Rhinolophus ferrumequinum: one gene and its partner. The protein of the gene in region 1 purifies or fractionates together with the protein of each later gene. This does not show direct contact. Links are inferred from orthologs where the notes say so. Each region holds a gene or a part of one and is shown on either strand. Other genes may lie near its edges.

Evidence for each region.
Region 2: the proteins of KIF5A (region 1) and KLC2 purify together in Homo sapiens (affinity purification with western blotting; 3 studies listed by BioGRID and IntAct, with this or other methods). This does not show direct contact. The link is inferred for Rhinolophus ferrumequinum from reciprocal best matches to the Homo sapiens genes KIF5A and KLC2.

The regions. Positions count from the first base shown.
Region 1 is NC_046293.1:56,514,220-56,522,407, forward strand, and holds the start of KIF5A (kinesin heavy chain), read left to right. Parts: upstream 1-4,917; 5' UTR 4,918-5,256; coding exon 5,257-5,385; intron 5,386-8,188. Other genes in the region: DCTN2 (dynactin subunit 2), read right to left, coding at 1,273-1,341, 2,224-2,259. UniProt on the Homo sapiens protein: Microtubule-dependent motor required for slow axonal transport of neurofilament proteins (NFH, NFM and NFL). Can induce formation of neurite-like membrane protrusions in non-neuronal cells in a ZFYVE27-dependent manner.
Region 2 is NC_046294.1:5,659,556-5,667,803, reverse strand, and holds the start of KLC2 (kinesin light chain 2), read left to right. Parts: upstream 1-4,700; 5' UTR 4,701-5,075; intron 5,076-5,745; exon of another isoform or gene 5,746-5,782; 5' UTR 5,783-5,787; coding exon 5,788-6,021; intron 6,022-8,248. UniProt on the Homo sapiens protein: Kinesin is a microtubule-associated force-producing protein that plays a role in organelle transport. The light chain functions in coupling of cargo to the heavy chain or in the modulation of its ATPase activity.

The DNA of each region.
Region 1 (8,188 bases):
GAGGTCAGGCAGCTCCCTAATAAGATACCTCTTGGAGGGACAGGTGCACACCTAGGTGCTTGAGCAACGACAACATCTGCGTTATCTCCAGATACTCAGGCTTGGGGGACAGACTGACATGCCAGCAAGTACAGAAGCCACAAGGCACACACCACTGAGAGAGGGGATGGGAAGGTGTACCCCACAAAGCAGGAACCACTTCCACATGGGGGAAACCAAATAAGGAATAAGTGAGTACGCCAAGCCATACATTGTAAGCCAGCAACCAGCATTCTCGAGAACTAATGAGCCCCACAGACAAAGGACTTACAGACACACATACTGAGCCTGTTCCCACTGACTCCTGGTCGCAACTTTATTGAGCTCTCACACCATCCATGTAACCCTAGCCCAGCTCTTTTTGGAAATAACAGAACCTAAAACACATCCTACAAGACATGGTAATAGATCTTTGTTCCCCTTAGCACTTACATACAGAATTTTTACTATGTTGATTTTCATTCACTCAATTTTATTTTTTCTTCCGTGTTTCCTATGTTTCCTAACTCCCCCATTAGTCTGGGGGATCCTTGAGAGTAGGGACATTTCTTCCTCTGCATTGCACACACACAAAAAATCAACACAGAATGAACATATTCAATAAACAATGCTAAGTGGTTCCCCTCATTAAAATGGGTCCACAGCTAATTCCTTCCTCCTCAGAATTCTTCTTGGATCTGAGCGCTACCAGGGCCTCACCTATGCTGATATCAGAGTTGTGTTCTGCCTCAAATTTGTTTTGTTCTGACCAGGTCTCTCTTCTTTCTAAAATCTTCAAATTATTTTCTTACTCCTTGCCCAACGGATACTGGATATTCATATAAAAGAGTTCTTCTCTATACTTCCATGTCTAGCTCTTGGTAGGATGGTAATGAACATGTATTAAATGAAATATTTTTGAATGAGAAGGTCTAGGTCCTAACCTCTAGCAGTTTATAAGTGCTTCGGCTTCATGATTCATTACCACGGCTCGCACCCAGGGGCTTAACCAAATCACTAGTCCCAAAACTGTTTTGAGATATTTCAAAGGTCAAGGATCAGGTCTTATTAGTTCCTGGCACGGCTCACTGGCAGCTGCAAGACCAGCAAGGCCTCTGCAAGCGCCGCCACCTACACACCACCCAGGCTGGGTTGGCATACCCGCTTATTGCTGTGGCCCCCAGAAATGGGAAAGGGCCTGCCTGAGGGAGGAAGGTCAGAGCCCAGAGGAGTCCCGAGGCAGCACAGCCTTACCGCATCAAACTCCGCTTGGTCATCCTCAGGGAGGTCGCTGGTTTCGTACACATCTGGCTCGTTCCTGGCCTGCAGGTAGAAGCAGTGACCACCCAGCTTCACTACGGAGCATCCACCAACACCCCTGACCCTATTCCATTCGAACAAGTTAACAGAGAGGGCAGGTTGTGATGCCAGGATTCTGTCCCTTCTCTTCCACCTGCCCGGTTAAATGCACATCAGTTCCCATGACTTAGAAGAATGGGGCTAAGAGTGGGACAACTGGGACCTGATGGTCAATGGTGAGTGTAAGTGATGACAAAGATGTTACCCTGAATCTGAAGGGGGGTGGGTCTTTGGCAATCATGATGGCAAAGGTAGAAGGACTATCCTTGAATCAGGTTCTATACACCACTACCCTGGCACAAGGGTTTAGAGTGACTCAGGACCTTAGTACCCATGATCCTGTGACCCAACCCCCACTCCAAGAATGCAGGCAGGACAGCAGAAAAGGGTACATGACGGCATGTGAGAGGTAGGTTGGGGTTGGGGTGGACACTCCCAGGACAGTTCTCCATCTGGCACAAGAAGGGTTCTGCCTTGGCAGGATAAAGGCCATCACTAAATAGCCTGGTATGTGTTTCTGGGGTGGGGATGGGAGGTTTGGGGAGACACGGGTGGTGCTGACACGGATGGCAAACACTCGACCACAAATGGTAAGGGCCCGGAGACAATTTCTGGGCCGAGAAACCGGCGACTGCCGGAAGAGGGGCCTGGTAGGCCGTCCCAAAGCCCGGCCCAGTCGGGTCAGAGGAGTCCGGAAGATGCTGCGGCCCGTCCGGGAGCGAGCCGCGGGAGCCCGGGGGCGGAGGAGGGGCTGCAGGCGGGAGGGGTCACGGGTTGGTGTCTGTTGGGGGTCCTTAGGAGGTTGGGGGCGCGGTCCTGGGGACCCGGGGCCGGCCCTGTACTCACAATGCCGGGAAGGTCGGCGTATTTAGGGTCCGCCATGGCGGCGGCGAGGCGGGGTTGGGGGACCGGGGACTCGGCGGAGCCGGGGCCGGTGTTCGGGTAGGGGAGAGGCTGGGTCCGGGTCCCGGGTTAAGGCGGCGGCAAAGGGAGCGGCGGAGGAGGCGGAGAAGCAGGAAGTCTCGCGACAGCAGTAGCACAGGAGAAGGGTAAAGCAAAAGTCGCGAGAACAGCCCGCTACCACACCCCTGGAGAGGCGAGGGTTGGCGAGAACGAGGCCAGGGAATGAGGTAATGGCGGGGCGGCGGGGGGAGGGACGCCGCATAGGATTGTTGGATATGTAGTCTTGGCCGACCCGGTATTGGGCGGGAGGCGACATCCCCATCTCAGGCCACTTAGTGATGGGAGTTATTGCATTCAACTTATTTTCTTTAATTTTCACATCGTCTGTGAAAAGAGCTTTTATAATTCCTGTTTTTCAAATGAATAAATTTGCACTTCCAGAAGTTAAATGACTAGATAAACATAACACAACTAGGCATGTTGGGGCACAGCCAAGACTTCAAAAACAACAATAACAGCAACAACAAGTAAACTTTAATAAAGCCTCAGTCACGTTTAGAATGAAAAAGTGAAGCAATTGTCTCAATTTAGAGCTGTCATATAAAATACAGGACGCTAGTTAAATATGAATTTCAGATAAGCAACTAATAATTTTTTTTAGTATAAGTATGTCTCACACCATATTTGGGACATAATAACACAAAATATATTAGTGTGTTTTTTTTAAATCTGAAATTCAAATTTAACTGGGCATCTTGTTTTTGTTTTTCAAACCTGGCAATCCTATGTTAAGTTCATAAATAGGTAAATGGTGGCTCTACATCTGAGTATCCTCTGTTCTCTTAGCCATTTCAGACTTTTGAATTTAATAGTTCAATAAAATTAAAACAACAACAAAAAGTTTGCGAGGACAGATACAGTATTGTTACCTTCATTTTGCCAAGTAAGCACATTAAAAAGAAAAAAAAGAAAACCTACTACTTACTATTGCCATCATTTCTAAGTAGAAAAGTAGGAAGGATATACTCTCAGAAAAAGACAGTCCTTCGAAACTTAGTAAATCCTGATTTATGAAAAACCACACTGTGGTGTTTTTTTTTTAATTTGGGGAGAGGGGCGGTGCTTATCCATAAACTTTTATCTCTGACCAGCGACTCTCCATGGACTAGCATTTTGAAACTTCTTCACTGGAGCCACCCTGGAGCCCTTGGGGGCCTGAGGTTGGGATGTTTCCCAGGATGTTCTCTGAGCTTGCAGGATGCTGCAACACTTAGAAATAGTGCCAGACCAAGTGACTAGAGAGATGCCTATTTTCCTGAGTTTGGAACTCACTGTCATTCTATGCATACTTTCCTGGCTCCTCCCCAGACCTCAACCCCTCCTTTTCCATAGTCCTACTGCTTTCCCATTCAGTTTCTTATGCTGGACCCTTTTCCTTCAGTGTCCTTAAGATTCAAGGTAGGTTAGAGGTATAGGTCCAATTTGGGAAACCTTCTCAGCTGAGTTCTGAGTGGTTAGGTCTTTTCTGGCCAGGCTGTCATTCTCTCCTCTTGCCTCATAGTGTCTAAGTGACCTTAGACAATAACTAGGCAGAACCTCCATCCCCTCCTCCCTTCTCCCATCATCCTGCTCCATCCCTTGGCCTAGAGCCTCGACTCCTGCAGTCTAACTCTGTTGGCCAGCAGAGGCCTGTAATGTGGAGAAAAATCAATTCAGCCAGTTTCTAGATGGTTCTGCCCAGGAGCTGCAGCACGAGTCTGACCTAAGGGGAGGAAGGACAAGGAATCTCTAGGCTTGTTTTTTGTTGTTGTTGTTGTTTTGTTTTGTTTTGTTTTGCAGGTAAGGGAGAGAAACAGAAAAGAGACCTGAAGAAAGGGGCTGGGGTGTAGGAACTCTGTCCAATAGTGACTGCAACAGGAAACACACTCACATAGGTGCCTACACCTGCCTAAAACCCAAATGCAGATGTCTGCCCTAGAAGGCCAATGTTATAGTCCCTCTGACCTTCCGCATTCCCATCCCTACCCCCTCTTCACTGCTTTCTGACTCCCTTTCTCTTGCAAAAGTTACTCCTGCCCACCTCCATCCCAAGCCTAACCTACGAGGCAAAAATGAGAGTCTTATCTCTTTTTGAATTCTGACAGCCCAGAATGGGAGTTCGTCTTCCTTCAAATCGGAGGCCTGGCATGTATGTTGGGGACAGAGTGGAGTGCACCTCTGAATGTAGAGGGGAGGGAAATAGCCAGACATACCCTGATACTCCTCAATGAAAAATGGGACTTGGACACCCACCTCCATAAGGGCACAGGCAGCTGCCCTTGAAGGTCGAGTGGATTGGAAATCAGTGCCAGGAGTGTGGGGAGAGGGAATGAGAAGTGTTCTCCCAATTTGGAAAGAGGATTGTGACGGGGGTGGAGGATGACCTGGGGTAAAGGAGGTGGAAGTGCTGATGATTCTGTCCCCTAGACAGGCAACAGGCCCACTGCAGACCCCTTATTCCTTCCAGAGGAGTGGAGTCTGAAGGAGGGACAGACAGGTAAGGCATGCAGTCAGTGACTTGGGTGGGGAAGGGGTGAGGGCAAGCTCATCTTCGAGAGTCAGGGGTGGGGAGAGAAGGCAAGAAGAGAGGAAAGGTGCCACCACTCTAAGGTGGACACCCAGCACCAGGCGCCTCGCGAGGGAAGCCCCGCCCCTCTTCTCGGTCGCCGCCCCGCCCAGGCCCGCAGCGCGGCGCTGCAGCGCGAGGGGCGGAGAGGCAGAGCTCCGCGAGAGGACCAGACGCCTTAAGTCGCCAGCATCCCGCTGCAGCAGGAGAGAGGAAGTGCTCCCCAGCCTTCATCCCGGCGCTCCCAGAGCTTTCTCGGCCCCAGAGACCGAGCACCTGCCCTCCGACTCGGCCTCTGCTGAGCTCCCGCCCCCGGAGCACGCACCATCCCTTCCGCCCAAGAAGTGCCCAGCCCCAAGCCTGCGACCACCATGGCAGAGACCAACAACGAATGTAGCATCAAGGTGCTCTGCCGATTTCGGCCCCTGAACCAGGCCGAGATTCTGCGGGGGGACAAGTTCATTCCCATTTTCCAAGGGGACGACAGCGTCGTTATTGGGGTGAGTGCCGCCGCGGGAGGGAATTTCGGGGAGGGGACGGGAGGTTGAATCCTACCCGTCGCTGGGCCTTAACCCCTGTTTGTCACTCTGCGCCTCCTCCTCGCCGCTCATCCTCCATCCTTTTCGCCGCAGCCCCTCCTCTCCCCAGCATCAGGATGGCTGGGTGTGGCCTGGCCAGGCCCGAGGCCCAGGTTCCGCAGAGTGGGAGGGGGCTACTTCCCCGCGATCAGGTCACCCAACTCCCCTTTGCTGCCCTCTGCAGCGTCCCCACCCCTTAGAGTCAGTCCCATGTTTTTCTGATGTTTTCCCTCTCCCCTAGAGGAAGCGCATCTTCCCTTTGTTATTGGCTCAGATCTCTACCCCCACCTCCCAGAAGGGGGGGGGGGAGACTAGTGGATGGACTAGATCGAAGGTGGGCAGTCCAGGGTCTCTGCGGAGGTGTAAGAGAATGGGCTCTGGGACCAAACCCTCCATCATCTCTTGAAGTAGTTAAAGCCTGGACTTGGGTGGGGAGAGCACAGATCTGATGAAGGGTTTTCTGAGAACGAAATACATTGATGACACACCCAGGTTTTTTTGGTGGGGAGCCACTGGGGTCCTAAGGAAATGTCTGCCTTTCTCTCCCAGGTACAGTAGGAAGAGGATTTCAGACCCACCCAACTCCCCCTAACAAATAAAAATAACCAGACCCCGAGATCCTAACAAGTACTTGCTTATTCATCCTTTCTCTTGATGATCCAATAAAAATTAGCAAGCCACCTCTACCTCATCATGACAGCCCCATGGAGGAGATCTTATGAAGAAGGAAAAGTAATGTTTACTGTGTGCTTGTGACTCTACATTTATTATTTAACCCTCAAAACAACACTCTGAAGTAAGCATTAATATTTCCATTTTACAGATGAGGAAATTGAGGTCCAAAGAAGTTGAATGACTTTATCAAGGTCACACTGTTAATTCACGGATATGAACCTAAATCTGTGACTGCAAAACTCATGTCTTTTCCTGTGTCACATTGCCTGGACCTTTATCTGTGATGGCCCAAAGGGAATTTCTCACCTATCCCTCCTTTGCTAGGTTGGTAGGGATTGTCAGGCTATGGGGTGAAAGGATTGGGGTTGAGTCCAGTAGGGCTTGAGGGGTTCTAGGCCAGGAAACAGTAGCCAGTTTGAGAAGGGAGGGGCACATATGAGGGCAGCCCTCAAGGTCAGGGGCACTTCTTATGTATCTTTGATCTACAGTGCTTGGCCCAAGACATGCTTGTTAAAGGAATGAAGGAAAGAAGAGGAGGGAGCCTGGGCATTCTGAATCAGTGAGAATGGGACTTTAAACACGCCTTAGTAAGAGACCTGCTTACATGTCCTGTCCTCAAGGGCCCCAGTCTGTCACCACGTTGAACTCTCTCACCCACACTGTGAACTCAAATGGGTACTTTTGCCATGTGTGTGCTTATGAATGTGTGTGTTCGCCACCTAAAGAGGGCCCCTATCTCTCTCTGCCTCAGGGACCTTAGGCCTTACACTGGTCAGTGGATCAACCCTAGGGGCCTCCTCTCTGAGTAGTCTGGATAGCAGGCATTAACTATGAGAATAGTTGGAGCTTGAGGTCCCTCTGAGATATAAAGGCTGAAAAACAGAAGGGAGGTGGGTGAGTAAATCCACAAAAGGCTTCTACTTTTAAGCCCAACTTCCTTGCTATAAGTTTTTCAGGTAAGTCTAAACCAACTCCAGACTCTCTGGGCCGTTCATCCTGGCCTGGCGAGCATGGGACATGGGATGATGTTGGGAGAAGGAGTTGTAGTGTTGATCTTTCCAATTTGCCCAGCTAAACAGGAGAGACACTGTGGAAGGTGGGGTAGGAGGAGAGCTGAGGGGAGGCCCAAGGCCCGCTGCCAGTTCAGATTCTGTCTTAGCTCCACAGCTGGTTCTTCCCTGCCTGTTTCGCCTGATATTTGTAGGGCTGTACCTTTGTCTCACTCTCTGTCTCCCCTTGCCCTAGCCCTTCCTGTCAATCTCTTACTCCAAGATAAAGGCGCATGGCGGGGTGGAGGGGGGCATTTTGTCTCAGGCAGCATCCTTAGAGCTTATCTTCCCCACCTTACTATTCATTCCTCATTCAGGAGGATGAGGGCTATAGGAGAAGTGATTTTTGAGGAGACCCTTGAGGTTCCCAACAAGGGAAGGAAATTGCCTACCCGCTTTTCTCTTTCATGCTCTAGCTCCCTTTGGGGCCCAGTGTGTGGGAAACTGTCTGAGGAATTAATGGAGGAAGCTGCTTCAGGATGTCTGGGAAGGTGAGGGAAGAGGGAAGGTGGGAGAGGGTGATCTCTCCACATCCAGCCCCTGCTCCTTTCTCTAATGGCTCTCTTCTCTGCTTCTGCAGCACTGCGGCTGGCTCTGGGCTTCAGAGTTCCTAATGTTTATGGGTTTTTTCTGCTTGGCAAAGGATGGGAGAATAAGCTAGAGAGACAGCTCTGTGAACCTTATCCCTCGCCCACTCCCCTGACTTCTCCCAGGAATCTGGGGGATGGGGCTTAGCCAAAGTTAATGGCCTGAGTCATAGTAGAAGAGTGTCCAGGTCAGTCTGTGTGTGCTCTGTACCTTGTTTTGCTCTTTGTGTCACTCAGAATCCACTGTGACTTATTCACTGGACCCATTTAAATGTCTCTCGTTTTTAATCTTGGTGGTCAGAGTGTCTCGCTGCCTGCTGTCCGGGCTGCTACATCTATACCCGATGTGGGAAAGGTGACAGTAGGGAAGCACACACACACACACACACACACACACACACACACACACACACA
Region 2 (8,248 bases), on another chromosome or scaffold:
AGGAAGAGGCCAGGGCACTGAAGAGCGTTGTAGCTGTGTCTGTGCCAGAGCAAGGACTGTGCACTTGACCCTGAGATCAGTGGAGAGCCAAGAAAGGGTTTTATGCAGAAAGGTGAGATGATGGACGTTAGAAAGATCACATGGGAGGAAACGAGACTGGAGACTCGAGGAGTTAGGAGGGTGTTGCAGCAATTTAGAAAAGATGTGGCCCAGACATTGATTAAGGCACGGGTATAAGAGGTGGGGGAAATGGGGACTTGAATCCTACTTCGGAGGTAGAATCATTAGGTTTCAGTGGCTGGTTAGGAAAGAGGGTCGAAAGAGAGAGAATTGAGGATTACGACTGGCAGCCTGCCATAGATGAACGGGCAGATGGTGGAACATCTCAGAGGAGACTTGGGTGGCTTTTGGGCAAGGGGGATATGTGCTCTTCAGAGGTAGGCGTCCAACTGGAGTTAAATATATCTGGATGGATCTGGATGGAGCTCAGGGGAGTGATCTGGGCTGGTGGAGGGTTGGGCTTCTTTAGCATGTGGGAGAACTGACCTTAGAGAAAGGGTCAGATAAGCCCCGGCCGGACTAATCTCCCTCTGTCCTTGACCACGTAGGGCAGGGGTGTCCAAACTGTGGCCCGCAGGCCAACTGCGGCCCGCAATCCATTGTTAATTGGCCCGCAGCAAATTCCAAAAATATATTTAGTTTATTTAAATAAACCAGGTGAGGCAATACATACTTCACCTCGAGTGAGTGGCCCGGCTGTTTGTGTATTTTATCGCATATGGCCCTTGGTAAAAAACATTGAAAAAAGTCTGGACACCCCTGACATAGGGCATCTACTGCCAGCATCAAACATCTTAGACTCACTCTTCTTCTTTGCACTGCCTCATTTGTTGTTCGCTTTCATTCTGAATGTGTTTTCTCTCCAACACCACCATAAGCAGACATTGCCCTATGTGTCATATTTTTTCTCCTCACTCTCCATTCACTTGCACAAGATCTGTCCAACAGTGAGCTTGATGGTAATAATAAATAACTACTAGTAATAGTCTCTGTTATGTACAAAGTGTAATGTTAAGATCTGAACTCTGCTGTTTATTCTGTTCTCTTGAGGACCCAACAAGGTAAATATTAAGAAACTCATCCTACATATAAGGAAACAGGTGGATAGCACGCCTATGTCTGCACAGCTGGCAGATGGAGAAACGCAGCTTTGAACTTACCTTCGTGTAACCCCAAAGCTTATGTGCCCTCCCGCTAGCAGGGTGGGGTGGGGATGGGGGACACTTCTAGTCTGGCTGGGAGGCCACAAGGAAGAGACAGTGCAGATTTGCCACGTGACTGCCAAGACAGGAACCAGGAGCCTCTGGAGGAGCTCTGAAGAGACTCGATTCTTGGTTCAGTAGCAGAAAGAACTGACAACCAGAGGTGTTCACAGTGGGACAGGCCCCTCAGGAAGTGGGGAGCTGTGCATCACATGGGGAGACATCTTTAAGGAGCCTCCAATCTTGGGCGTTTATGAGTGAACTCGCTGACTGCTTAGTGAAAGTGCTCCCAGGCCATTTCAAAGAAAAGGAGTGAAGCTGCCAAGGGGGGAAAAGAATCATTTAAGAAAGCAGACTTCAGGGGGATGTGTGCTTCCAAGGATCCAAGGGGAAGGGTCGGAGCAGTGGGAGTGATTTTCAGGGAGAAAACAATGTTAAAAGTAGCAACGATTTCCCAGGCTGGGGACCAGCAGGGGCAAGCCTGTGAAGCCCTGTGGAAAATGGGATGAGGAGCCGAATCACCACTGAGCATGGGCTCCTTCCTTGACCCTCTGTTAACTGGGCATCCATCAGCCGCCTGGCTGCCCAGCAGCTGCCCAGGCGGGGCAGGGGTGGGGGTACAGAACAGAGCGGATGAAGTAACAGTCCTTCCTGCGGGAGACACACAGTACAATCTTCAGAGACAAGATAAAAAGCTGGGTAGTTGAAAAGGTTTGAACATATGCAAGGTCGAGCACTGAAATCAAGATAAGAGCCTGAGAACGGCCTTCCCTACACCAGGCACAGGGGGAGGAGCTGGGCCAGCTGCCTAAAGAGAATCTCAGAGAAACTACAACACCTACAGGGATGTTGGCAGAAAAGCTAGAGCAAAAACCCAGCAAACCGGAGACTGAAAAATGTTCTTTCCATTTACCTGGTAAAAGATGATAAAAGGAATGTACTCCTTTATCAGACAGAGGGGACGCGCAGAGAAGAAAGCAGGGGTTGTGGTCGTGTGTTTGTGTGTGGCCATGTGTGGTTTGCACTTACTTGAGCCTAAAAACACACACGCGGAGGTGTGCATGTGGCACACAGGGGTTCATTCAGTGCCTCTGGGTGAATCTGCCTGAGGCTCTGAGCAACTGTACTTTCAGGCAGGTGTGAACAAGCACTTGACTTTGGTTCTCTTGACCGCTACTCCATGAGGTCAGTGTCCCTTATCCACTGGAACAAAATGACCAGTGGTCACTAGGAGCCTGAGCTTGCCAGGAACCTCATGCAGCTGCCTTCCCCTCCCTGGGCCTGTGTCCTTACTTGTAAAATAAAGCAAGGGCTTTCAACTGAGGATGAACATCCTGGGCACCACTGAAGTTTTAAAATAAGACATGCCCAGGACCCACCCTGGCACCACCGAATCCCAATCTCTAGAAAGAGAGCCTTCTAACAGTGTCTTTGTGAGAGATTCTGAAACCCAGCCTAGTTAAGAGTGACAAAGATGCCCTGGGTTCCAGCTTCTGTTTCCTCCCTGTAGATGTGCAGGCAAGTTGGGAGTGCGATCATGAACTGATGGAGACTCCATGCCCAGAGGCGGGCTCATCACACAGCAGCCAGAGCACCTCTGGGAGATAGAGCTGGAGGACGACAGACCCACCCCCCCCAAAAAAAAAAAAAAAAAGAAAACACGAAAGATTCCAATCTTCAGGACCCCAGAGGAAAACCGACCAGAAGAAACTGAGAAGGGTGACCACAAGCTCTGCACTGATGCAAACCACCTAATGAAAGGGCACAAAAACTGGTACTAGCAGGTGCCTCTGGGCAGGGGAGCTGCATGGCTGAGGATAGTGGCCAGAAAGGAGGACCTCTATTTCACTATAACTTGTAGATGCCTTTCGAATTTTGCATCCCATGGCTGTCTTAGTTACCTTTCCATCACTGGGGGGAAATCATTGGCAGAAGCACAGGATCGGGGAGAAGAACCTGGCTGGATACAATGGGGATGCACGCAATCTAGGGTTTCAGCTGACAAGCTTACCCTGCGCAGACACAGTGTGGTGGCCGCCAGGCTGATTTTCAAGTTCATGGTAGACAGGTAGCATAGTCATCGAGAGGGGCCCATCCCTCTGTGATCTGTGCAGACCGCTCCCGGCTGGTTTCTTGGGCCCTCGACTGTGCACCACATTCTAAGCAGTGTCCGGACTGACACGCTAAACTACACCCAGAAAGAAGAAATCAGGATGGAGAAGGGGCAGGAAACTGGGCCAGGAGTGGGTGAAGGGACAGGCAAGGAGACCATTATGGCCTCTAAATATCTTTATTGGCAAAAGGGAGCAGACTGTTCTTCCTGGAGACAGAGCTTCAGAGCACTGCAGGAAGGTCCTTTGGGGGCCATCTAAGGAACAACGTTCTAATCTTTACTCTCTCAGTAAAAGGTAGTGAGCTCCCTGTCACAGGGCGAACTCGAGCTAGGGGCACAGGGCCGTCTCTGTGTCAGAGATGATACCAAGGAGCGTGTGCAGGTTTTGTCCTTCGGGGTGGTTATCCTGCTGTCACCCACTAGTGACATCGACCTAGATGCCCTGCAGTAGGGGCAGTGCCAGGGTAGCCACCAATCCAGGGGTGCAGAGCACCAGACCAAAACCTAGGCCTGGCAGGGGCCTGGCAAAGCCAGTAGGTGCACCCTTCTGCCCTTTTTTTAAAACCAACGTTTACTGAATGCTGCTGTGTGGCTGGCCAGGGGCTACTCTGGGAGTGGACAAGATGGGCAGGGCTCGGCCTGCATTCTAGGGAAGAGACAGAAAACCGACAGGAAAAGTGTTAGAAGGGATAAATGCTAAGAGAGAATTGAATGGGTGCATGAGATGGACTGGAGGGCAGCTGTACATGGGTGGGAATCAAGGAAGGGCTCTCTGTGGAGGTGACATTTCATCTGAGCCCCGAATGACATCATCACCTTGTCTCGATCATCCCACCAAAGGCATTTGTTGTGGTGTTCAAGCACAGGTGCACGAGTCTTTGTTTTGGCAGATACCCGGCTGCCCTGTGCCACCCTTTTCTCCCTTACAGTCAGAAGCCTCCGTCCCTTCTCCCCAAGAAATAGCCCTAAGATGTTGTGAATCCCCTACAGGGTCATGAACAGCTCCGAACGAGTTGGGTGGAGGCGCAACCAGTCTCTAGAGACAAATGAGCCTGAGGGCAGCCAGATCTGCGAGCTGTGATAACAGCGGTGACCATTTCATGAAGTCTTTGCGAGCATTCACTGAGTTAACCCACTTAAGGCGCCTGACACCATTGCTTAGAAAGTGGCAACTCCCTCAATAAACGTCCAGGGTCTCGCAGTGGACTCCGGGCCGGCTCTCTGTGCCTCAGTTTCTCACGCCTTCCTCTCTCGACGCGGTACTGGGTGCGTTCAGGTTCACAGTCTCCTGAGCCTCTCCACACCTCTGCGGCCTCGGGGCGCTTTACCACTGAGGAACCCGAGAACGCAGGAGCGTGGACCAGGCAGCAGGGCAGGGGCGCCTGCCGCCAGCCCACGCTCGCCCCTGGTGGTCACGCCCCTCTCTCTCGGGTGGCCACGCCCCGACCCTCCCCAACTCCTTGCCGGGAGCAGTCCCGGCTGGCGCGCTCCTTTAAGGCAGCCAGCAGGCGGAGAAGAGGGAGTTTCGCCCCCTCCGACGCCGCTGAGGTAGCAGCTTCACCTTTAAGGCGGCGCGGGGACTGTTGGGAAGGCCGGAGGGATGGAGGCGGCGGGACCTGCTCACGGCTGCCGGTCCGAGTGAAACGGGACGGGAGCCGGAGCCAGAGGGAGCTGGAGCCGGGCCCAAGAAAGAGGCACAGGTCTGCGCGGGCCGACTGGGCCAGGAGAGGGCCTCTGGCTGGGCCTAGGGGACGGGTGGTCGCGGGCGCGGCCTGTGGGCGGCCAGGCCCACCCACGGGGAGGGGGCGCGGCCCTGAGTGGCCGGGGCGGGCGTTCGGCCTTTTCAGGGGAGGGTCCACAGGGCGTTGCGCCCGCCTATGGGGAGGGTCGTCGTGGGCGGGGCCTGGGGTGACGGAGAAGCCGAGATCTCAGATCTTCTAGGGGAAGCGTCTCTCCAGGATTGGCCTGCCCACAAGGAGGGGCCCTGTGGCTCGGCCTGCCTGTTAGGGTGGGGGCTGCCCTAGGGGCTGGGGCTGGACCTCCCGGAGGGGTCGGGATCTCCCGAATGACTGTGAGCCCCTAAGCCCCCCGTAGAACCGTCCTCCGGTGCGCCCTGCCCTAGCTGAGAGTCCCCGGGAAAGCCCCGAGACTGGGCCGCCTAAGCTGGTCTGAGCAGGTGGTCTGGGCCGAATCCCGGTCCGGCCTCACCGCATTGCGTCTCCTGGGCCGAGACAAGCTGGGCGCGCCCCCTGTAGGTCGAGCGCGGACACGGTGCGGGCTGCCGGCTGGGGGACAGGGCACCCCGGGGATCCAGGCGTCCGGGGACCGGAGGTGTTTACCTAATCCGGGCGGACGGCGGTGTGGTCCCAGGCTCGGCACCCGCCTGCCCGCCCCCTCGCCTTTATAGGCGGCATGGCCATGGCCACGATGGTGCTTCCTCGAGAGGAGAAGCTGAGCCAGGATGAGATCGTGCTGGGCACCAAGGCAGTCATCCAAGGGCTGGAGACCCTGCGCGGAGAGCATCGTGCCCTTCTCGCTCCTTTGGTCGCTCATGAAGCCGGCGAGGCCGAGCCTGGCTCACAGGAACGCTGTGTGCTCCTGCGCCGCTCCCTGGAGGCCATCGAGCTGGGGCTTGGGGAGGCCCAGGTAGGCTGGTCTGGGGTGCTGAGGTGGGAGGTCACAGGAGGGAAGGATGGAGACTTCCAGTGGAACAGAATCAGAGCAGGGAACCGTCTGCCTCCTGGAGCCCCATGGTAGGACCCTAGTAAATATCTGTTGAAGAAATGAATAGGCTTTGGAGACCCCAGCCAGGCCTTGCCCCAGGAAAAGCCTGACCATCCTTTAGCCCCCATTCAGGACATCCTCCTCGCTTCTCTGCCAGGTAGCAGAGACTGGACTAGGAGAACAAAAAGGAAATCCTTAAGGACCCCTTCCCCAGACTCATTCTTGTATTCATTCATTAATAGGTAAGTTATCAAACGCCTACTATGTGCCAGGCAATATGTTAGGTGCCAAGGATACAGGTCCTACAAAACAGATAAGATCCCTGCCCTAGTGTAGTAGGAAGACAGTCAGAAACACACATACATCTGTTGCACATTGTGATAAGTTCTCCAAAGCAAAGGAAGATCTTTTAATAGCTTTTAATGGGATTTCTTATCTATTGGTCAGTTAAGAATTCTGAGGAAATGACATTTAAACCAAGACCCGCAGGAAGGAATGTACCACCTCCAGAAAAGGGAGGAGGGTGAGAGGTTGCATGTGCAAAGGTCCTGAGGTAGGAAAGATCTTGTTGTGACGAGACAATCGAGGGAAGACCTATGTGACTGGAGCTTCATGGGGAAGGAGAGAGGGACAGAAGAGGCCTGTGGAGAAGGCAGAGGCCAGATCATTCTGCGCCTTGTTCATTTGGGTTTTAGTCTCAGGAAATTGGGAAACCTTTCAAGAGCATTAAGCAGTCAAGGGACACAGTGTGACTTAGGTTTTAAAAGTTCTCTCAGGTTGAGGTATAGAGAAGGAATTATAGCGGGTCAAGGATGGAAGCAGGTATGAGGTAGCTAGGAATCCACTGCTGGAATTCAAATGAAAAAATGACAGCTTGGACTAAAGGGGTGGCTGTAAGGGTAGAAAGAAGGGGACCTGTTCTAGATGTCCTGGAGGGAGGTTCCGGGGGACCTGGGGACAGAGTAAGGGAGAGACAGGAAGGCAGGGTAACTCCCAGGATTGTGGTTGGTGCAAGTTAAGGGGATGAGAAGCTGGATGATCAGTACTTGGCCCTCTTATGTTGGCGCTGCCAGGACAGTGTGCATGTGGAGGTTAGGCTCTGGGGGGAAGAGTCCTGGCCTCCTCGGATCTTGGCTGAGACACTGGCTGGCTCCGTGAATCCTGGGCAGGTGGTAGCATCTTGATTTCCTTGTCTTTAAAATAGGGATCATGCCATCTGCTGTCTCTACTTCCAGGCTGTTGCGGTAATTTTTTTAAAAAGCTAGTGTTTGTAAAAACACCTGTCACTTAGGCGTTTATTAATCAACTGGAAAGCACAGGGTCCAGACTGCCTGGCCCTCTGGATGGGCAATGTGTTTTGGTCATTCACTCCTCAGCCAGTTAGCTGCCAGGTGCAGAGATGAACACTCAGGGGTCCCCCTCCCAGTGTGTGCAGGCACTGGCACAGATGGGCAACAGGATGGCGTGGAGAGAGTGGAAGGTGCCCTGCTTTTCTGGGGCTGTGGTCATAAGAGACAAGAGGCTTCACTGCAAAAATGACCCTGAATGTGAAGGATGGAGAAAGGGTAGAGCCTGGAAGAGTCTGGGAGCTCAGGAAAGGAGTCATAGAGGTTGGGAGAGGGGTGGGGGCTGTGGCTAGGCCTCTGGGTCGTCTTACCTGCCCTTGTGGTTCCCCATACCATTCGGGGGTTTGGGATATGCACCCCTTCCCCCCAGAAAGGCAGGGGCTGATCTGGATGCTTGGCGGAAGTCAGGATGGGGTCTTTCTATGGTCCTTCAGCCATCTATCAGGAAAGTGCTAGCCCTGGGGCAGGGGGCAGCGTTATAGTGGCTGTGGCTTCAGGGGCTTGAGTACAACCCCCAGGAGAGGAGAAGAGAATGGCCAGCTCGGGAAAGCTGGACCATCAATGCAGAGGACTAGCTGAAGGCTCCAGAGAGGAGATGGACTTTCAGTCCAGCAGAACTGGCCTGGGAGCCTGGGCCTTCTGACCCCAGAAGGAAGGAGTTGGGGATCCCCAAGCCTCCTGCGTTCAGGTCTTGGACTAGACTGTGTTTGGGGCCGCGGGGGAAAACTCCCTTGATGAGAGGAGAACTCCAAGCCCCTCAGCCCTGCAGCTCCTCAGGCAGGGCTGGACCTAGCCCTTCCCTG